2 linked regions of the Lepisosteus oculatus genome follow. The protein of the gene in region 1 interacts with the protein of each later gene in a biochemical or structural test. Links are inferred from orthologs where the notes say so. Each region holds a gene or a part of one and is shown in the gene's direction. Other genes may lie near its edges. The genes, in order: cttn and actr3.

The links.
Region 2: the proteins of cttn (region 1) and actr3 form a complex in vitro, tested with the Homo sapiens proteins (3 studies listed by BioGRID). The link is inferred for Lepisosteus oculatus from reciprocal best matches to the Homo sapiens genes CTTN and ACTR3.

Annotation. Positions count from the first base shown.
Region 1 is NC_090716.1:5,754,116-5,766,198, forward strand, and holds the start of cttn (src substrate cortactin), read left to right. Parts: upstream 1-6,180; 5' UTR 6,181-6,341; intron 6,342-7,716; exon of another isoform or gene 7,717-8,000; intron 8,001-8,151; coding exon 8,152-8,232; intron 8,233-8,647; coding exon 8,648-8,721; intron 8,722-8,952; coding exon 8,953-9,082; intron 9,083-10,623; coding exon 10,624-10,734; intron 10,735-11,467; coding exon 11,468-11,522; intron 11,523-12,083. Other genes in the region: liprin-alpha-1, read left to right, coding at 143-169, 1,048-1,223, 1,622-1,719, 1,996-2,171, 2,571-2,639, 2,888-3,053, 3,588-3,646.
Region 2 is NC_090707.1:5,680,218-5,692,051, forward strand, and holds the start of actr3 (actin-related protein 3), read left to right. Parts: upstream 1-7,169; 5' UTR 7,170-7,331; coding exon 7,332-7,375; intron 7,376-11,834. UniProt on the Homo sapiens protein: ATP-binding component of the Arp2/3 complex, a multiprotein complex that mediates actin polymerization upon stimulation by nucleation-promoting factor (NPF).

The DNA of each region.
Region 1 (12,083 bases):
TAATTTTTTAATTATTCTTGTCCTGGGATCTGGGGCTACTTCACCTTTCTTTACTTGACCACAATGGATTTTTTTTTACTAAGCACTGACAATCTACTAACACTTCTTAATTTTCTCTTTGCACTTCTAACAATGCTAACAGGAGGATGAGGAGGGCAGCTGGGCCCAGGTTTGCCATTTTTCTGTCTATGTGCTGTAGACTTCTAAATGTTGTAAATTATGACTAATTTTGGAGGAAAGGTATTGAAGGGAGCTTCCCTACTCTCGGTTCCCTGGTTTCTAATCTTGCCCTTTTTATGAAAACTTTGTCTTCCATAACTTGTAGGAAGTCCGAAGTCATATATCCGTTTCTACTAATGACTACAATTAAATCCAGCATCCTAGCTAGTGAAGTTGGAGCTGGTTAATTACCAAACTTCTACTTACAAGAATCTAGAACTTCTTCCTGTTGCCTCTTAGGATGACTAGACACATTAAAGATTTGCACCAAAGATGTACCATTCTAGTTTCCTGATCATTTAATACCAGGATGTACTTTTAAAATTAAGCAAATGTCTGGCCTGTTGATCTTGATCACATTTATGGAATAGATTAATTTGTAAACTTCTGCGAATGTGCCACACAATCCACTAAAACAGGGACATATGAGGGTCGTAAATCTTAAGATATATTTGAAAAAACCATACCATTTTACCTACTGTATTTCTGCAAGAAAAGTCTCCATAAAGAACTCCGTAGTGAACATCTGTGGGGGAAAAAAAGTAAAAAAAAAAACCCACCTCTTACATTTGCTGAAAAGGTAGTCAGGACGTAACAGCATGTGCTGCTGAGCCATGGATCTGATTCTGAATAACAGCCTTAACCCTGAATACTTACGAAACTATTTCAGTTTTTGAGAAAATTCTGAGATTATTAAAGAGTGTTTTGTAGTTTCAAGCATATCATGGCCACATGCAAAATATTGGAATGGCTAGCAAAAAGAATCATACAGTGTTATTTAAGTATCTTTTTAAAACAATGAATTCACCCTAGACCTTGTTTTTGTAGACACTAGCGTATGGGGATATGAATCACGAATGGATTGGCAATGAATGGCTTCCCAGCCTGGGACTGCCTCAGTATCGGAGCTACTTCATGGAGTGCCTTGTTGACGCTAGAATGCTTGACCACTTAACAAAGAAGGATCTGCGTGGCCAGCTAAAAATGGTAGATAGTTTTCACAGGTGAGGAGATGCATTGTGGATTTGGATTGAATGAGCATTTAAACCAGGTGGAGTTTTTCAAATAGTTTACTAGGATGATGAATTTACAGTGCTGGAAATGTAATTATTCTGTGAATTACAGTCCAAAATAGAACATTTAAAAAACAAAAACAAAGTTGTGTTACAATATTACCTCAATTGCTTGGTTTTGTTAATTGGGAAATTAAGAAATGCACTGACCATCAAAAATGAATGTGCACTGTATAGACTAATCTAAGGAGTTGATATGAAAGACTACAAGCTCCCCCTGGTGTCAATATAAAACGGAATAAGAAACTTTGGATATATCTGAAACAATTGAGCAAATACTTTTCTGTAGCAAGTCATTTTAATGTTTCTGTGGTTTCTTTCCAAAACAGAAATAGTTTCCAGTGCGGGGTAATGTGCCTACGAAGGCAAAATTATGATAGGAAAGAACTTGAAAGACGAAGAGAAGAATCCCAAGTGGAACTTAAAGGTAATGATGGATATTTTCTACCTTAATCCTAGATCTGCAGCTGCCCAGTGACTTGCAAATTCTGTTTTAAGTCATTCAACCACATACCACTTGTATCAAAAGTATTTCAAACTGTGGCACTTGGATGGTTTGTCACACAATAAAACCCGTCAGATATTTCTAATCTGTAGTCCACCGCCAGGTCTTGGAAGTATTTGTTGTAATGGGTGAAAGCTTCTCATGTCAATATTTATTGGGAGGTTTGGTTTCACGAGAGCTCTTTGCCTGCTGTTTCAGATGTGCTGGTATGGAGCAATGACCGAGTGGTCAACTGGGTTCAGTCCATCGGTCTCAAGGAATATGCAAATAACCTGTTGGAGAGTGGAGTCCATGGTGCACTACTTGCCTTAGATGAAACTTTTGATCACAATGCTTTAGCGCTGTTGTTACAGATACCCACCCAGAACACACAGGTACACTTATTTCATTTGTATAACATTTAGTTTGTGATTTCCATGTTATGCCTTCATTGCATTGCAGTTGGTTGACTAATATTTCATATTAGTTTCTATTTCCCCTTTTGTCTCCAGTCTTTTGTAGTGCTCATCTGGACTGTACTTAGCCAAGTACCCACTGTGATAAACATTCCTGTTAAACTAGGGAATTCTTAGAGGCATGTGAATTTCAAACATAGTATTTAGCCAAAAGAATGCTTAACAGACATCTAATTTCTACCTTCTTTGTGCCTTTTGAGTGTTTCATTACAGACACATGTAATAGGATGCAACTGATAGTCTTCATCTTATTAACTTTTGGAGGTTTCATTGTTAGGAATATTACATCAACAGCTTAGCTTGTTTCTTTCCACTTAGGCAAGAACAATTCTAGAGAGAGAATATAATAACCTTCTTGCCCTGGGTACAGAAAGAAGACTGGATGAGGTGAGAAAAACTAAATATGCAGCTCTTTGAAGTTAATTTTGCCTGTAAAAAACACAATGTTGAATATAAATTATTGCTGGATGTTACTATCAATGGGCTATTTTTCTCTACTTAAATAAAAAAATCCAGTGTGATGCCCTAAATTATAAATTTAAGCTTTTAAATGAAAATGTCTAAGCTGTTTTATTTTCAGCTGAACAGACTGTAGTCTGACTTGGTGAAATGTGGTTCTTTCCTTGTGTGGCTAGGATGATGACAAGAATTTTAGGAGGGCTCCATCCTGGAGGAAAAAGTTTCGTCCAAAAGACGTTAGGGGGATGAACCCTGGGTCGGCAGAGACTCTTCCTGCAAACTTCAGGGTGACAAACACAATGTCCTCACCATCTATGCAGCCAAAGAAAATGCAAATGGATGGTATGACAGCAAAATATTTTGATTTCATGGGCATGACAACTGCATGACTAACAGCTTTATAAAAATATGCTGATCTGTCTGAATTGATATGAAAGTATTAATTACAGCAGTTTTTATGCTTCACTTTTTTTTAAAGTGAAATCCATAACCACTTTTGCATTTACAAGAAATCTGCAGAGAGCAATTGAAATATCTTAATTTCTGACCGTGCTAAAATGCATGTTCCTTTTTAGGCAGCTCATGCACTTGATATTGAGAACTTTCCTAGAAAGCATTTTGAATCCGATTTTCTGATAAGATACAGGATATTTAGCGTAGGTATTTTTTTTCTTTTTAGTGTACATTGTTTGAATAGTGTATGTGTCCTTTAGTTTTATTGAACAAATATAAACGTACTCTTAGCAATCTGTGAAATGGCCATCTGAAAAGACCAGCTGTTTGTTATTAGATTCTGCTTTGCTTTGTTTGCTAACATTTTTGGATTTGACTAACTGCATGTTGTATTGCACCTTGTCTCTGGATGGTTGGGACCAGGCAGTATATCAGGAGCTCAAAGATTGGATTCTGCCACAGTAAGGACCTACTCGTGTTAACACCCTCTCTTGGTGAGTTCCAATGTCATGTCACCATACATGATCATAAGTCATTTAACTGGAAGAGCTTGTGGTTCGTGGACATTATTCCTATTGATTACTATTTAGTAACTCCACAAGTACAACATTAAAACAAATCATTACTGTTTGGAAAAAGTTACTTCATAAGGATTGACTAAGTGTTCACTTGTCTGTATGAAAACTGGGGAATTTAGACTAAATGATGTCAGTGGTTTCCTGATTTAATAGATATAAAGTCACCTTAAATGTAGGTCATTTATCAGGAATTTGGTTCCAGTTTTTCTTTCCTATAGAAAATGTAATCTTCTTGTCAATTAAGTAAATCCTTTGTTTTCAAGGTAACCAGAATTTTACAGTTGGCTATCTGCTCACAAATGAAGACTTTTGAATTTGCTTTTCTGTGTGTTAAGTAGTTTTTCTTACATAGGAGAAAGAATTAGTCTTAATATTACATCTGATTACATTTGAATTTTTCTGAGGTGTGCAGAAATAGAACAAGTTTCATGACATGGACTGTCCATAGCAGAAGGCTTGAGTTCTTCTATGTAGCTGACACAATGTTAATTATCTACCGATTACCCATAATTTGCACTGACTTTGTTCTTTTTTCTATTTGCAGTTTATCCCCACTATTTCTATCGATGATTAAACAGCATTAAATCAATTGAAGACTACATTTCTGAAATCAAGATGAGATCTGTGACATTGTTACTTCTTACAAGAACACTATAAATATTTTATTACAGAGTTTAGAGAATTCACAAATTTCCTGAATACCATAGAGAAAATATTTTAGAATTAAAGTTTCTTATATTTATGTAAACTGATTGGATATTTCATTTACTTAGACCTAATACTGTATCATTGTCTGTATTCATTTTGCTTTTTTCCTTCAAATTCTGTTGTGCCCTTATCAAATGTAAAATCCTTTCAGATGTAACTGAATGTATCATGAGTCTGAAGGTTGTATATTTATCTACAGACATTATCTAATCTTTATTTTTTATATATATATACCTGTTTGTGCATTGACCACAGACTTTTTTTGTTTTTGATTTTAAATGTGGGGTTTAAGCTAAAGTGACTTTAACACGAGTGCATTTCTAAAAGTCCTTTTTTTCACATTTTCTTAATGGTTGATTTAAACTTTTAAATGCAACTTTTAGGTCAATTTCAATTTCTGAATTTCAAAAACTGGTGAAAACTCTTCAGCATTTTAGATCGCTCTTTGGTATGTCAGGAGGACTGAAGATTAGGGTCTGGAAAATGTGAAAAATAATTGAGGTTTGACCACCACCCCAAAACACACACACACACACACACACACAATATTTGTATATTTGTGCATCTCTGTAAATCATTTACTGTGATACCAAAATGTACTTTGGAAAAGCCATAGAACTATGAAGAAGAGAATCACTTATAGATGCGTTGTTTGGCTATAAGGTCCTTTCAAGTAGAAATACTCTACCAGCCACGGATGCTGAAACTTTCCATTCCTCTCTCTTCTTCATTAAAAGCTTAAAAGAAGCTGATGCAACACGTTTCATTCATCATGGACCAATGCCTGATCACTGTGGTCTCATTTCAAGTGGGAAGTCAGTAGAAGGTGGCACAATTTTCATAACCTTCTAATGCATTGTACGATGACTTTAAGCCTTATTTTTGTTTTTACTTTTTTTGTCACTTTGTATAACGGTTGTCATTTCCTTGGATCGTATCCATGGCTGAAGTGTTTCTGAATGTGTATTCACTTGTCATTGAACACCAGGTTTCTCAGTATTTATATACTCATAATGTTGGGAAATCGACAGACTCATTAAAATGTTTTTAATGTACTGATTTATTTTACCTTGTCTGTTTGATAAGACGTACGTAAAACACAAATCATGTTACCCTCATGTTCTTCGTTTTGTTTTCTCATTTCAAATTTCGTGACCTTGTAACAAATATGTACAGTCTGACTACTTTTGAACTATTTTTATCACAGTATTATTTATTGCTTACTTTCAATAAAATACTGAAACTTATTTTCCACTGCCAATAAAAAAGACTGTGTCTTTGTTTAAAAAAAATCATTGTTGCATGTAGTAGTAATTGATCCGATTTCTTTTTACAAAGGATTTCATTAAAATTGCATTTTTTAAAAAAAAACTGGTCTTTAAATGCTTTTGAACTTAATAAAATCGTAACAATTTTTGCAATACAAAAGGTTTGTTTTTTTTTGTTTTAATGTTAATCAAGAAAAAAATTGCACAATGCCAACAGAGGCTAATAAGTTTTTGTTTTTAAATACGGTTGCATTAACTTTAAAAGGAGAACTACATCCTTATAAAGCTGTAACATACACAACATTTCGGTGGACGAAGGCACAGTATAACACGAAAACGTGCATTTACTCTCCTAGAAAATCTAAATACACGTGCAGGTGGCGTAGTTTTCGAGGCGTTAGAAGTTTTAGTACTTACAGCTGGCGTTTCGCCTTGTCCTCTCCGCATTCCCGGCACGGCTCCCAGGTGGTGCTGCTGAGCTCGTAACAGGAAGTCGGGCTCTGGGAGAGCCGGAAGGATCGGGAGTTGGAGCAGGAATACTACGGAGGTTTGGGTTAGCTTCAGAAGCGTTTATTTTTTTTATCTTCGGCGACAATTTGTGCGAGAAGAAACATTCGGACAAAGTAAGTCAACGTGACAGCGGTACCCCAGTACAGGTAGAACAGATTCCGACGTCGCCTCATTAGGTGTCGGGGGGCACGATATCAATGCAGACTCGCAAGCAGGAACACATAAATCATAGAGGCTGAGATCAGTCTTGAGATATGGAGCAGGAAATGATGCAGTGCAGAACATATTTAGTAGTTATTATACATTGAATTTATTTACTCGGTAGCCACGGGCAAACATTTTATCTCCTTTAATGATCTATTAAAAATGTGTGCTAAGAGTGTCCCGTTCGATGGATGACTCAGTGGCTTGAAAGAAAGGGCTAACGCAGGAAGAGAATTTCGTCTTGTGGTGGACGTTGGGTTATCTAAAGTAGTTTCATCGGAACGCATCCCTCTGTAAAAAGATTGTTAAAGGTGAGCATGCTTTGCATGTTAGTCGGATTTGCATTCCTGTTCAGGTTTGCTTTGGTTCAGATGTGCTGGCCTAGTCTGTGTTTATGCAGCAATTATCCTTCTAAATGAAACAGTGCCCCAGTCTCTAATATTGGTCAAAATAATGTGGCTCAAAAGTTTCGATTCTTGTAAAAAGGTATATTCATAACGAAGACCCCTCACACATCCCTTTTTATAATTTCTTCTTAACTGTTTCATTGGGGAAGTATATTTAAAATAGCATTTCCACTTTATAATCCCCATGCGAGGTTACTATAGTGAAAATGGAGCTGTGTCGTCTATTGTTCGAGGGGTTTGCAGTTAAACACGTATGATAAAATAGTCGAGTTTTCAGTGGAGACGTCCCTTAAACTTGTCACGGGAAGGGGATATAGCAGCACAAGTTGTGATCTGGGTGTGGTGCTGAAGGGCAGCTGTAACTGCACGGAAGGTATTTGTGCTGTGAAATACCTAAGATTGCAAATAACTGCACTTCAACTTTATACTTCAACACCAGAGGGAGACACAGATACAGGCTAGGCTAAGGGGTTCAGTCACCCCTCCCCGTCAATATGTTTCAAATCCACGTTTTGCGCTGAATTTGCAGGAGGCATATGCGAACTTTTCTTTTAAATCTGGAATGCAAACCCAACTTTTTCCATTGCTACACCGCAGATGCCTGTGTGCGGCTGAGTCAGACTGTACAGTCTGTATTATGGGATAGTTATAGAGTTGGGCCAGACGCAGCAGGGCTCAGAAATCCCCATCTTGACTGACGTTTTATTTGTTGCTATTTGATTGCCTGCATTGTGGACGACATCCGAGGAATGCAAAGTTTCATCCTACACAAGTCAGGCCTAGGGAAGAAATATGCCTTAATAGATATTGTTTCAAATGTTGCAACTGACAGCAACTCAACTATTTAGTCCGTCTTCTTTCAACTGCTTATTTCAAGACAGTTCAGCTCCAGCTGGAGAAAGTAGAGTACAGCTCCCATTATCAATTTGACAGGCCATCTTGTAAAAACTTTTTCACTGCACTTTGTTTTTCTAGTTTCAGTTCCTGTAGCATTGCAATTATCTCTCAGTGTTTTATCGTGATTAATTGCACGGTTTCTTTTATGGTCTGTGTAGAAGCTGATACCCGGACAACTGTATAGATTTCAGCCTGGTAGTTTTAACACCTTAATGAAGTTCCTGTCTCATTTGAAACTTTTTAGCAGAGCAGTTTGCAGCCCAGGTATTTTTTTTTATCTTGCATGAACCTATCCTTTTGTATAGCAGAACATGCAGTTGTCCAAAAAATAAACAACTGTAATGATTAAAATGAGAAATAGTAGTGACTTGTTCAGGAACCATTGTACTTAAACTCCTCCATTTTGCTTCCTTAGATGTGGAAAGCTGCAGGCGGAAAATCTATTTCCATCACTGATGATGGCTCAGATGACTGGGAGACTGATCCAGACTTTGTGGTAAGGAGTGATTTTTTCATTATGTCCTTCTTATGTCTCTTGGAGAACACATCACAAATTTGCTGTTTTACACGGTGTGGCTGTAAACAATTTCTAGCCCATTTCTCATTTGTAAGATTAAGAAGAAAGCTTCCCTCCCCCCACCACATTGTCTGATTAAACAACAGTGGCTTGCCTGAAAGCTGTGGCAGAATAAAGTGTTTGAAAATTATGCTTCAGTGTTTACATGTAATGAAAATTACATGTAATGGGATTTCCATGAATCATTTGTACAGCTTATCATTGGGCTGGTAAGGATGTTCTGTACTATACAGTAGCTAACTGCAGGTAGGAAGTCAGTGATATAATAAAAAGGTGTAGCTTGTTGACTACTTGTTTTGAAATGTATCTTTTTTTCCTACTTTGCTGCCACTAGAATGATGTATCTGAGAAGGAACAAAGATGGGGAGCCAAGACCGTTGAGGGATCTGGACACCAGGAGCATATTAAGTAAGCAGCTCTTTCCTAGCAGATCCATGTGTATTAGATTGTGTTATAATGGTGGCTCCAGTTTTAATATTTGCGTGCATGGGATGTTAGGTTTGCACATACTGTAGGGCAACTGAAGTTTTCTTGTTTTGCTTGGTGAACAAGGAGTTGGAGTATCAGTGATGAGTTGATGGTTTCAAATAGTATTTTGCCACTTGTGGTTTATTTTTTTTCTTTGTTGCTTCTGTGCAGCATTCATAAGCTGCGTGAAAATGTCTCAGTGGAGCATTGCAAATTGAAGGAGCAGGAGCTGGAGAATATGCCTAAAGCTTCTCATGGTTACGGTGGAAAATTTGGAGTCCAGCAGGATCGAATGGATAAGGTACTGGAGATGAAATGTCATACATTTTTTCTTTTACACTGAAATCTGTTAAATTAAAAGCAATTCTGTGTATTAGTGATGATATTTTGGACACGTTTGAATCAACATTCGTTTGAATTATGAGTGGTCAGAGCAAAGTGTGTTACCGAGGTTTAAATACAGTGTGCTCACAGGCCATGTGACACTTGTTTCATTTCTATATATTGTAGTAGTATATTTAAACCTGTAAATTACAGACTATTTGTCTTTAGCAATAAAAAATACTCTGGTCCCAAGTGACATATGTGGCACATATGCTTTTCAACTGCAAAAAGTTTTTTTTTTAAACTGCAGGTAAAAGTGTGTATATATATTTGCTGGTCATCACTGACAGAGCAGGAGTTGGAGCACAAAATACATTTTTTTCTAACTTCTCAGTTGTACTACTGATCTTGGCTTTGGCACGCAAGATAACTGTCGCTGTTTGAAATCCATTATGTTCTAAATTGTCTGGCAAACGTCAGTGCATAACTCCCTCCCTGCGTTCCTTAATTGTCAATTTCCTGGTGAAATAATCTGCCTGCCAGTGCCTGCCACCTGATCGGTAGGCCAGGGAGTCGATGCCAACAGTAACATTGTGAGCCAGTCATACACTCCTCATTCTGGCTTTAATGTGTGAATGGGATAACACCAGGCCTGCCAGGGAAAAAAAGATTTTCCTATGAGCTAACGATTTGCACTTGTCTGTATGCAACTGGTACACAAATCCCTTTCTTCATTGTGGGTATTGTACAGTGGTAATATTTGATGATCCAACGGCTTTACTGTGAAATATGTGCATGGTGAGAAGTGGTATGACATTCTTTTCCACATGGGTTCACCCATTTGATCTGCCCTAATGGAAACGGGTTTGTTCGAAAATGTATCAGAATGGACTCAGGAGATCGGAGCTGTAAGCATTCACAGTTCACAGCAAGTGATGATATTCCTGGAACAGTAAATATGAAAATGCCTATAATGTGAATAGAAAAGTTAAATTAGCAGTATAAGCAATTACAACTAATATTCTGGTTTAAGTTCTCTGCTCTTGTACTCTCGAGGTGAAAGGTAGTGAACACCTTGTCGTCTTGTACTTTCAAAGGGATATTCAGGACAACAGAGAAAAGCAATCCTGGACTTCTGATTTGTTTGTCCTTCCTCCTGTTGAAAAACAAGGTTATCAGCTTATCAGCTAGCTTCCAGAAAAAGTCAGAAAGTTTAAAATGGCTGCTGATCTCGGAGCTTGATTCTGCTCCATTGTTAGAATTCTCCTGAACTTGGGGACAATGAAAGCATATGTTAAATAAAACAGTGATCTGGACTTTGGTGTGCATCGCAATCATACCTGGGCACTTCAAGCAAGCTTAGTTTTAGCAAGTCATTTTTTTTATCACCAGTATGGATTCAGAATTTTAAATGTCCAAGTAAACATGACCTATTTGTCTTCTATAGTGTTGTTTTGGTGTGTTCTTGTAGTTCAGTGCTGGCAATGAATGTCTGGGATGTTTGTTGTCTTTCTGTAGTCTGCTGTAGGCCATGAGTACCAGAGTAAGCTGTCCAAACACTGCTCTCAGACCGACTCTGTGAAAGGATTTGGCGGAAAATTCGGTGTCCAAGCGGATCGTATTGACCAGGTACAGCACTGTCATCCTTTTTTCAAAACCACAAACTTCATTTTGCCTCTGCTGCAGGGTCATACCTGTGTAGTATTGAAGGCAGTGCAGAAGGAAGTGTCCACATAAGAGAAAGGTGTCGATAGTGATAATTGAAAAAAAATCTTATTGTTCTTACTGCTCATTACTAATGTGAAACTTGGGGTGTCTGTTGAACTTTAGAGTATATCTTGATAGTACTTTATTTTGAGTACTGCAAAGGAACAAGTAATAGGTTTATTCCATGCTGAAAAAAAGAAGAAAGAGAACACAACGTTTCATCTTCAGGTGTCACCTGAAGAAGGCTCCACGGCCGAAACGTTGTGTTCTCTTTCTTCTTTTTTTTCAGCATGGAATAAACCTATTACTTGTTCCTTTGCAGCCTACGCATGCTGACACAGCTCCCCACCTTTATTTTGAGTAGTTAATCAATCCAGAATATTGTATAATATTAAGTAATTGTAAATTGCATTATAATGTTAATTGGGTGTTCATGTTTTTTATTTTAACACATTAATGTGTGGTGTGTAGTAGTAAGATATCTTTTGGATAGACGCAATAAATGTGACTTTGAACATCATAATCTGGATAAGAAAGCAAAATGTCTTTGACTTTGTAGTCATTGGATATTTAAAGCTAAGCTGGTTTCCAAAAACATTACTTTGTCATTCATAAGTGGTTGACTATGACTAATCTTTCCCTTGCTGTTTTGCAGTCTGCAGTTGGATTTGAGTACACTGGCAAGACTGAAAAACATGCTTCACAGAAAGGTGCTGGTTTTCCTATGATCCCTGTACAGTATGAAAACTGCATCAGATTACATGATTTTTAATCATAAACTGCTTTGGATGTAGTATTCTCTTATTAAAAGCAATCTTAAGTAATAGCCCTTTATAAATGATAGTACAGAATTTATATTTACAAACATAAAAAAAGGAATGTATTGTACAATGATTATCTAAAATGTAGCTTTATAATAAGGGAATACTGTCATATTTGTCTGGCCTAGTAGGTTTTTTGCTTACACATTTGAATTGCTACCTCCTATGTGACAGTTACAGCTGCTCACACTTTTCTTTCTGATTCACAGCAGATTGCACTGTAAATGGTGCTAAAACGAATGCCCTTCAAACTCCAGATGAGTTTTTAGTTACTGTGAAGTTTGTTTTTTTTTGGGGGGTAGTAGTACATAGAGATAAGGAAAAATATCATCTAATTTGTTTTAACTAATTAGATTTTAGAGGAACACGCTGCAGATCCCAATTTCTGATACCGCACAGAAGTTTGATTTGTTTTTATTTCTTCTTAGAAAAAATTTGTCATACGCTCTG
Region 2 (11,834 bases), on another chromosome or scaffold:
GCAAAACTTATATGGGCGATAATACAGAAAATAAACAGATGTATACAGATATATATTTGTATATTTATTATATTTATACATAACATAAATAAGTATAAAAATAAATGCATAGGTGAATAACAGCACAGGTGAACTAAAAGATTGTCGTAATGTACTCTGACTAGCAGCGCACATTCTACTTAAACAGGGAAATACAAAGAATTCAAAGAAATGGACAGGATAAGCTACAGAAGTATTGTTTCCTCTCTGATGCATACTGCGTCTTCCTACTGCCTTTACCTGTTTAGAATAAATGCCCAGTTTACAAACAGCTGCCTTGACACTTCAATTTGTGCAGGGATCTGTAAGATATGAATAAATCAACCAATCAAAAAAAGCTTAAAATGAATATTGGCATTTCGGTACGTAATACACAGAGTACATCCACCATCATCCAACAGACTCCTTTAAATATAAATGAAATGTATATTCAGGATTTTAAAAATGTGAGAAAATAACATACAGCACAAAAATTATTATTAAAAAACTTACAGACCACAGAAAACTAAAAAAAAAATGTTTCCTCAATTTGTTACTGATTGAGGAAACAACTGGCACAAGTGATCTAAGAACGTCTTATTTTAAAAACATCCTTAATTTTTGTTTTACACTTCAAATATGGACTGCTGTATATCTACAAAATGAAGCATGCGGTCTTTTTTCAGTCAAACACTGCATTAATTAGTTGAACTGTGTTGTGTATTGGTACAGTTAACTAAGAAAGTTAGACAAGGTAGTGTATGCAGAAACAGTGTTCAAACCTACAATTGCATCGCAATACGTTCTACGACAGGTTATATACAGCAAAAGGATTTTGACAAATAATATAACAGACCATAAAGTGTTCTTAATTGGTTACTTGTTAAAATTATTTTACGAGCATATTTGCTTTTGCATTTTAGGCAACAATATCCTTTGCTCAGTAACAGTATCTGGAATTAATGAATTCTCTTCAAAGAACCAAAATGTTTTGCAGAATTATTCAAAATGCCTTACCCTATGCATGTCGACAACAACTTGACCTCATTATATTATAACACATTTTCATGTAAGGTTCACAAAATGCCAATAACACCCAATAAGATAACCTCCTTTATTAGAAAGGGTAAACTAAAAACACTAAAAATATGTTTGCAGACACTTGTTATTCTTGATTAAAAAAAACTACTACATGGTTTTGTAACCTACTTTATTCTTTTTTTTTAACAATAGAAAGAGCCCATAAAGTTCCAATGACCACTAAAAGAATTTTTTATGTTCTAGGTAAAATACAGCCAGAAACCTGAAATGTATTGGCTTACATTCCGTGGTAAGACAAACAGGTACTGCACTCTCTTCTGGCTTCCTCTCAGTCTCAGTCTCAGCCAGCAGTCAGTGTGTGAAAGATGAAGGTGAGCATGTAGATGACTTTGTGCATCACAGTCACTTATCCTGGGCAGAAGCGAAAACACAATCCAAAGAATGAACACTCTCTGTAATTTTTTCTAGCATTTCATCAGTGTATATTTCAAAGCTCTACTCAACCTTATGTGAAGAGCCAGGCAAGCTTTTATTCTACTGGTATCCCTTTATCTCCACTGCTGCTTTCAAAAACTACAGCTATATTAATACCGCTGGCATGGCCCCAATTCATCCATTAAGTCATATCACTGAAGGAAGCACTCATGTCTGATGTTATCCATGTCGATGCATTAGAATGGAGGTTACCCCAAAAATGTCTCAAAATATTTTCTAATTTAATGGAATAAAAACCATGGCTCTCTTTCCTTAAGTACATCGGATAGCTTGCAAACAACAGGAGACCATTAGGCCCATGTTGCTTGTTTAGTAGCTATGTTAATCTCAAAGTTCCTTGAGCTATTTCTTGAAATAGCTATTTCTTAACCACCTGGCTGGGAATTCTGTTAAACTCATTTAACACAACTCATTTTCTTATTTTCCTTCCAAATTAAATTCCCTTTCTAACTACTTAGCATGAACTAACCCCTCTGTGTTGATCCTACCTGCTCTCCTTAAACATTTACACAATTGGATCAGAACTCTTTTCAATCGCATTTCTTCTTGACTGAAATGTAGCTCCCCTGCCTTCTAAGACCAGGAATAATTCTTGGTGCTGTTCTTTGCATTTTTTCAAAGGCTATAATATCATTTTTGTTGTATGGTAACCAAAACTAAATACAATGTTCTAAATGAGGCTTTACTAGGGCATTGTAAAATTGAAGTCTAACTTGATTTAAATTCCAAATCATTTGCTATGTACACTACACGGGCATTAGATTTAATTATTGCTTGCCTACATTGTCTTGTAGAACACAGCAGAATCTGCATAAACAACCAGATCATTTTAATGCATAGATTCCTGCAATTCAATTATATGCAAACTGTATGATAATTATACATCTTATGTATCACAACATTACATTTCATTAGTCAACCGAATGCCAAATCTATAATTTCCATCCCTTTCCACTTTTTTAGTATACCTTGTGTTCCTCTAAAAAGTAAATTGTTTTCTAACTATGGCAGAATCTAGATTGCTGATATACTGTAGATCAGGAAAAGTAGAGGGCCTAAAACAGATGTCTGCAGTAAACCACTGCTTAGGTCTGCCAGTTAGGGGTTATGCCCCTTCAGATGACACATAATTTCCTCGTCCCCAGTGCATTCTCGATTCATGTGCGTACCTCATGTACTCCCCAAACCTCAATATATATCCTACATTTACAATGCTGAAATGCTGCTGCAAGAAAAACTTAAAAGAAAAGTCACTTCATGTAACTTTTCATCAGTCTAAGAAAAAGGACGCCGTTGATTTCATTTACAGATACGTACAAACTGCACTGAGGTTAGAATTGGTACTAAAGATATCATAAAAGCAAATAGTGCCTAGTGATGCCTTAAATTTGCAACACAAAACAAACATTATTGTAGAAAAGCAAACCAAAATGATGTGCATTATTTATATTATGTATGAATCAGTGCATTTTAATTTGAAATGCTACTGTATGCGTCGTAAAATACACATGCATATCTCATGCAGAAATGAATAATACAAACCAAGAAGATAGGGTATTTTTTTTTAAATGGAACAATAAAGCAGTTAAGAAGCCCAACAGAGCCCAGAATGCATTGACCACTAAACATGAATATTTTATTTAGCATCTGACACCAGAGAGCTCTGTTTTCGCTCGGTTAGCTGGAAGGCAACAGACTAGTAATGAGCGCTATCTAAGCAGAACTGGTTCTTGGAAGCCTTCCGCCTGGAATTCAGCGAGTTTATTTTTGGTCACAATTAACCAATCAAACACATAACTGTGATCTTGACACAGGCACCGAAGCAGGGCGAAATTCAGACACCCAGGCAGATTCATAGCTGGGAAAGTGGCAGGAATCCTATTTAAATTGCCGCCAATGTTGTAATGTAGTAATGACCGGCATACACTTGTTAGACGATCCAAGAGCTTCTATTGACGTTAATATTTTACTGTAAATTGAATAAGACTATTAATAAAATAGCTTAAAGTCTGGTCACTAGACTGCGCTGTTCAACACAATGTCATTTTGTGTTCTAAAGATAGTATTAATTTAAGTAAAACGTTAATAGTTTAATAACCAAAATACCAATACTTCTAGCATGTTAACAGTGTTATATACAGTATTTTCCGTTATCTCGCACTCCAACAGTGATATTCTCTTTCTTGGACATTGCACATCGCAGCGAGAACCACGAGTTTCGCAAAGGAAATGCAGTCAATCTCTGACGGTACCGCAGATCAGAGTAAAGATACTCTTGAAGATCGTGATCATCGATGAAATGATAAACCCGCATAACACTGGACACGACAGTCCACGCAATCCCTCCAAGACGCCGGCTTCCCACTTCGCTTGTGGGAAAACTCAGTGTCACACAAGTCAAAGCGCTATACGTGGTCATTTTAAATTAGGAGAGTGTGATTTTAATGCCAGACTATGATTTTAACTTGTCTTTGCTTCACCGAGTGATGGCCCGAAAAATCTGTCCGGAGACACGATTTGCATAGTTTTCACTCACACTGAAATAGCGCACTGTTCTGCATCAACGAGAAGGGAAATAAGTCCTCACCAAAAGCTATTTCGGTCTATTATGTTCCCAACTTGACATTTTCAGGTCTTCATAAAAAATCGAATAAATTGCACGAGTGACCTCAAAACAGGGTTCAGATGTAAAACGAAATTATTACAATTCATAAATCAAATGCTTGTAGTCCATTTTGGCTTTAAATTTTATGCACGAGTGTCATTCACAAAACGTCAGGCAAGCAATTTCAGGCTGTAATTGGACACTTAGCTCAATGTAATACCTGCCCCGTGTAGATATTGACATATCTTGAGAACTAACAAGATAGTTATATTTTTCTCTGTAGAAATACACCTAACTAATCAAATGCAACGCTTTGTAATAATCACTACAGTTACCTGTTTCTTAAGGAGGAACACTTCCAAACCCCAACTAGTAAACATTGACAACATCCAAAACCTCTGCGTTGCTTCCTGCTCAGGTGACTGTAGTTATCGTCTACGTCTGACGTCATTTTGAGCGACGTTGGAAAATGTAGTTTTCTTTCCAGTTCAATGTTCGTACCGAACAATGGCGCTTACAGGACAGAAAACTACATTACCCAGAAATGAACGGAACCTGGCACGTGTATTTACAGCGAAACTAGATCATGTACGAGACGGATGACTTTTGTGAATGGGGTCTTTGTGGTTAACTGGATAATACATCACGTTCCCAGTCTCTCATTTTTCACAGAAGAGAATTCAAAAGATGATGGATTGTAGTGCTATTGAACTTGACTTCTACCTGCGTATTGCTGATAAAAGCACTGGAGCCTACCTTTTTCCAGTCACGGTGTAGTATATTTTAAAAATAAAACCAATCAGGTATTGAGAAAGCCAGTAATTTCACTCAAAAATGACTGACAATGATTTGTGGGATGTGTGTGGGATTCAAGGCACAGAAACCATTGAACAGGCTTTACAGCTGGAATAGCAACACGTGTGCAACCTGGTGCAGAGCATGAATTCCAGTTGTGCAGCTTGTGTTGCTTCCAATGGTGGCCACATAAGACACTAACCTGTGGCTTTCACTGTAGACCCCCTGTTGATGACAAACAATAATCCACATAATCAATCTAACTCTGTCACGGCTGCTCATTACATATGCTGCCAAAATAGTTTGTCTGTTCCCCTTGATCCTCAGTTTATATTGTAACACAGAATTTGAAGATCTAGAAGAGAGACCAACAGATTTCAACCGATTTAAAAAATAAGGTTGAAATGCTACTTGAACCCCTAACTTACAGTATGTGGCTTTTCTGTGGTTATGGTTCAACATATGTTTTCTAAAGTCTGGTCAATTAACTATATATATCTATTTGGTCAATTTAAATGTGTATTACTATTCCAGTTTATGTAGAATAATCTTTACCTTTTAAAATTATTCTTATTTTTTGTTGAAGAACTATAAAACACGCTATTATTTAAATTCAGTTAAATTCTAGCTTTCTTGTCCTATTTGGGGAAATTCGTTTGACAGTACACCCTCAATGTAAAAACACGATGGCTGACAAGATTTACCAACTAAGAAGTCAGAGCAACAGTTCATTAGCAGAAGCTTTATAACAGCTATATTTTCTTCCTTCTACTATCAAAGGTGATTCTAACAGCAAAATCCTACCTAAATGCTCACAAATGCTAAATGCAGTGATGGTGATCTATCATTTTTCTGACATATTCTCAACATCGTATCACTAAAGTGATATACAATCTCTTTGTAGTTGAGTTTTTTAAACACCTTTTATAAAACAGTTTTTTAAAAACTTACATTTTTGATATCACTAAAACAGTTCATTTTTCATCTGATCAGGAAGAAAAAGTAAAAGCTTGAGAGTGTTTGCACTTTATGCAATTGAAGATCAGACACTTTTAAATAGATTTCTAGTAGAGTAATGCAAAATGCAAAAGGATCTGATCATGCATATCATACAGTCTCTCTCACTTAAGGTTATACATTACTATTGGAAAGGTGACAACACTGTCCAGATTTAGATGAGCAATCATTATGGTTAGGTAGGACGCATTTAGGACTGACACACGAGACCTTCCCACTGTTGGTTTCTTTGCTCAGACCAAATTAAAAAATGTTAAAATGGTTTTACTATGATCACGTTCTATTTCGTCTGCAATATAACATCCTTTAAAATATTTTCAGAGCAATTACATGTCGGTAGAGTGATTGAACAGTGACGTAGGTTTTATCTAATGTTGGGGGAAAACCTTTTTAATGGTCAGCAAATGGTAGACAAGGGTCTTTAATATAACAACCTTCATTTGAAAGGTTACAAATGACAGGAGGCCATTCTGCCCATCTTGGTTACTGATAGCTAATTGATTTGAGGCTTTCATCCAGCTGTTTCCTGAACATTATTGGGTAGCATGTTCTAGCCAGACACACACAGCCCTTTGTGTTAAAAAGTGTCTCCTGTTCTCTGTTTTAATTGCAGTTCCATATAATTTCCACATGTAACCTCAGGTTAGTCTTTTACTATTGCTTCTAATGAGGTTAATTGGGTTAACTGTGCCAATGACAGTACAACTAAGTGTACTGTAATATTAATACAGTATACTAATCAGCTCTCTAGCATGGCAGACTACAGGATTTTGACACTACAGTGTTCACATTTAATAATGGAGTTACCAGGCGCGTACAGTATATAGGCAGTCTGATACAATCCAGCTTTATCCTTTGGTAAGGGCTACGCGTTTTGAGCAAAGGCAGGACCACCCGTGCGAACAATAACGCGTTCAAAACGGCCTTGGTGAGAATTATCTATGAAAAAAAAAACACCTCAACGTTACTGGTTGGAGATGTATTTTTTAGCTCTATTAACTGTTTCCAGTACAAAGTAGAGTACCAAACCACGGATATCCCCTCCGGCTGATTTTTTTCTGGGGGGGGGGGGGGGGGGTAGAATTTTGTTTTCAGGAAAATGAAATTAAAACGGTGTGGAAGTAGGTTTTATATTTCTCTGCCCCGTGATTGACAGATCGCTAGCCCTGCCCGTGTAGCTGCCTGTGGTTTCAGCCATCTTGCTTCTCCTCTGCTGAGTGCGGAAGTAGAAACTTCACTGTGAGGGTTCAGGGTTCCGCCTCTGGATGGTCAGATAGCACCTCTCATTCAGCCCCGGCACAGACACTTTTTTCCCCCTCCAAATACGCATCTTTAACCCCGGCCGACAGGAGCGGAAGAGATGGCAGGACGGTTACCGGCTTGTGTAGTGGACTGTGGTACCGGGTAAGAAAAATTCAATTGAATACCAAGCACAGGGAAGCGGAGGTGAGATGGTAGAGTCATATTGCCTTTTCAGTCAGTTCTGTATTGGGTGTGTGTGTGTGTGTTTGAGCCAGCACAATGCTTAATTCATCTCCCGGTTGTAAAAATGTGGCCCTTTTGCATTTTTTGGGGGGGGCAAGACGGGACCTTGTAGGCTTTATCGCAGATAGATTCCCTAGTCTTATCTTTGCGAGAGGGAAAAAAAAAGTATAATTAGGCTGCTACATAATAGCCGCAAGGAGCTATTTGCTTTCATCATCAGAAAATCATCTTCTTCCTGTCTGAGTGGCTTCATTGAACGGGTCCACCCAAAACTCAAGCAAAGAAGTGTTTCTCTGTCCGGGCGAGCACCGAGCCCTTCCCGATTTCAGGTTCCTAAAAGGGGTGTTTTAAAATGGCAGCGACAGGGATTAAACTGTGGTGTGAACATGTTTTGAATCCCCTTTTTTTTCCGTGCTTTAGATGGCTGTCGGAATGAAACCCCTTGGTTTTTGAGCAGGCGCAGAAGGACTTCCTAGTTGTGTCAAAACCTCTTCCTGATTTACGATTTTTATACCTTATATGGTCTTTCTTCGGCTTCAAATTTAGTGTTTTGGGAAACCGCACTTGTAACAATATTCTGCAAAAGATATGCCGAGTTTACCCCGTTTTTAACGTTTCTTGAGAGCAATGGGAATGCCGCTGCCCATATGCTAACACAACTGTTTTACATGACTCGTTAGCTTTTGGAGCCACCGTAGAGGTAACTTCGTGGTTTTTGCAACTCCCTCCTTACTTCCTCGTGTGTGTTGAATTGTTCTCTTAAGCTTTTGCGTCTTAATTTTTCAAGTAAGATGCATTTGGCTCGAACTTCCGTTTGCTGTCAACTAAATAGCAAAAGAAAGTTGTATACGACATACGGTAAACGTCAACATTATAAAGCATGTAAATTGCACTTTTTTTTTACACCTATCTAGGGAGGAGATGAAATCAGATCTCCAGGGACGCGGGTTTTTTAATTATTCTTCACGCTGACTGTATGTATTAGGTTTTGTCTAGTTCCTGTTCTGTGCAGCGTTTGGTTTGGGTTGAGGCTGTGTTGCAGCGCGGTATCTGTGACTGATGAACAGATGGACCGCTTTGGCAGGAATGAGGAAAAACGTCTCGTCCGGCCAATTTTCAGGTTGATGAAAAACGAACAGCATGTTTTGCTAAGGCAAAATTGCTGCCTGTATGCATTTTGAAAGAAATGTTTCTGTAACCGTGTTAAGTAAAACTTTCGGGAAGGGCGTAGCTGTGGAAATGAGTTGAAACATGGGAATTGAAGTGACAGGGCTGGGATGTTCTTCCAGTGCGGTATTCACTGGATTTTATGTTTACATAATACAACTGAGAGCTGTATCTATGGCACATAAAATTCCTGCTGTTAATGATTACACTACGTTTGGCCGTGTGACAGATCGCCGATAAAATATGACTAATAAGAGGTTCAGTATTTTCTACACCTTAAAAAAAAAAAAAAAGAAGTCTGTCCCCAGCTGCCAGAAATTCAGTTCCTGCTCTTCTGCAAGTGCACAGCTCTGGTTCTGCTATTGTTAAGAAAAAGGAAACCGCAGCTGTGACGTCACCCGCTGAAGACCAACGAGTGTGAACGTTGTAGAGAGGGGAGATGATCAATTTATTGTCCGGGTTTTTTTAATCTATAGAATATTTTTTTTTTGGGGGGGTGGTCCAGAATAATGCTGGTCCTTCATGCACTATGTACTTTAAGTTATGGTAAGGCCCCTGTCTGTGTCTCTGATGTTCACCTTTTTTGCACCTTCAGTAAAATCATTTGACCAGTTGAAATTGTTCCAAGTACAGGGATCAACCATAATATGGGGTGAACTCCACCTGACTTCTGTTTAGTTTGTGTGGTTCTCTAGCAATTCTGTGCTGTAAATGTGGATATTTATTTGCGACCAGTCATTATTTTTACTTGGAGCATCTTGAGCTTCATTAATAACTTAGATGTGATCAACTGAGGGAGGATACTGCAAGGAGTGTCTTGTATTCTTTGAACTTAAAAGCTTTTGGTACCTTTGGGTTGCAGAATAACCTGATAGGGATGCTTTGGGTTGTCCTTTGCCTTGTTGTGAAGTCACTGTTGACATGTCCAGAGAGCAATGTGGGAAAAAATGTGGTTTGCAATTTTTCCATGGTTAAGATTGCACTATAGTCATATTATTACGTTTAGCAGAGTTCTTAAATTTAGGAGTATTATACCAAGGGTCTGTGAGTGAATCTTGAGTAGTTGGCCTGTTGTTATAAGACAAAAATAATGTTTCTGCTCAGTGTGTCATACTTCTACGCTTCTATAAATCACTCAGTAAGTCTGTGACTAGTACAGTCTTGAACCTTTCATTCCCGATATGCATACTTTTTTTTCCAATTTTCTATGTAAGAATTAAAATGCAGCCTTACTATTTATACATACAAGCCACTAAACAGAATGAATCTTGTATGAAAAAAATCTGTATCTGCAAATAACAACGAATTGTAGAAAATAGACATGAATGAAAAGGTGAGATTTTTTTTGTAGCACGGTTGCTTCGGCCACAAGTGTCTGTCATACTTTGCGAGACAAACGTTCTTTTCTTATTTAAAATCTAATTTAAATCAGAATAAGATTGAATTATTAATCTAAATTAAATTATTAATAATAACATTGATGAAAGGTAGTTATAACAGGTTGCTGCGTCGGCATGCGGAGGCTACAAAGGAACAGGTAGTGGGTTTATTCCACGCTGAAAAGACAGGAAACAGAACGTTTCGGCTGTGGAGCCTTCTTCAGGTGTGGAGCCTTCTTCCACACTTGAACAAGGGTCCACAGCCAAAACATTTTCTTTTCTTTTCAGCGTATAATAAGCCCACTACCTGTTCCGTAATAATGATCATATCAATCTATAAATATAAACGAGAATATATTTCTGAAAGTGGTTTGGATGGAGCAATTATTTTTAACATATTGCTTGTTCATAATGTAGTTTTTTTTAACAGCTCTATCCAGACTACACCGGTCAGTATCAAACCTGAAACCTGCTGTTGGGCCTTTAGCCTGGTTTGCAGGTTTGTGATTGAATGATGATAATGTATGGCATGGAAATGTCAGGCTAGGACAAGAGTATGATATGTCCTCATGTTTTGCATTTTTAGGTGTGTACTATAGAAATGTAAAGCACATCAACTTGTGGTAGTAAGAGAAGACTGAATCCTTAGAGGAGCAGTGTGGAGCAGTGGTTAGTCTTCTGGGCTTGGACTGATGGTGTACCTTTGAGCAAGTTGCTTCATTTTGATTGTTCCAGTAAAATCCCCAACTCTGTAAATGGTTGCAAATAAGTTGGGATTTTTTTTAAATAAAAGCCTCAGCTAAATAATTGATAGTAATATCCTGTCAGCCATTGTGCTGGTATTAAGGTATGCGGTAAAGGCGGTATGCATTATACTCAACAACTGCATCGTGCTTGTCTTGTGAATTGCTATCTAAAAAAAAGTCTGTAACCCTGAAAGTCCATTTAGACATGCATTTAAGAAATCCATAGCTTTAGTTTTATGTTGTTGTGACGTAGAAGTCCCATCTTTTTTTTTGCTTTGACCAGAAAGTAATTTGCCATATTACACCATCTCACCTTAGTGTAAAAGTAAAGATCTTTTTAATGTCCTTAATGTACTGCAACTTGTTTTAGAAGCTATTTTAGCTGCATAAATAATAGCAGTGGTTCCTTAAGCACAGAACTAAAATAACACCATTTCCATTTTAAGTATAGTTGTAGTATTTTTTATAAATGCTGGGAATAATTTACCTGTAGCACAACATACTTCTTGGATGCATTCTAAAATTCCTGGAGACTTGTTTTAACAGGTCAACTAAGCAGGCAACTGTTCCAGACAGATCCAGATTTCAGTCTGGAATGTCGTTTTACTCCTCCCATGTGCAGGAGGGGGAACAGTAATCTGTTAAGGAAAAGTCTGCGGATAAAATTGTCAACATTCGATAAAAAAAAAACGTTATCAAGACATTCAGCAAATTTGATATTTAAAAAATAAACTTCTTTTAAACAGTTCTTTTCTTCTGTTCTTTGTCTTCAGTAATTATTTTTTGTGATCTAATTTTTGTATGTGTCCTTTTCACATTTTCCTCCACATAAGCTTTTGTTTTTTCTAGTGATTTTTTAAAACACAGTACCATGATTAATGAGATGAATGTGTAATAAAAGAACAAGTGTGGACAGACTAGAAAAGGGAATGGAAAAAAAAATCTCCAGTACTTAAAATATTTTTCGTTTATAAGTAGGTAGATATGCAGTATATAAATGAAGGGTTTCTAGTTTACTGAAGGCTTGTTATTCACAAAGTGACAGTCACAAGTAACATTCCTCCAGGTTTTTTTGGTCCAAGTGAA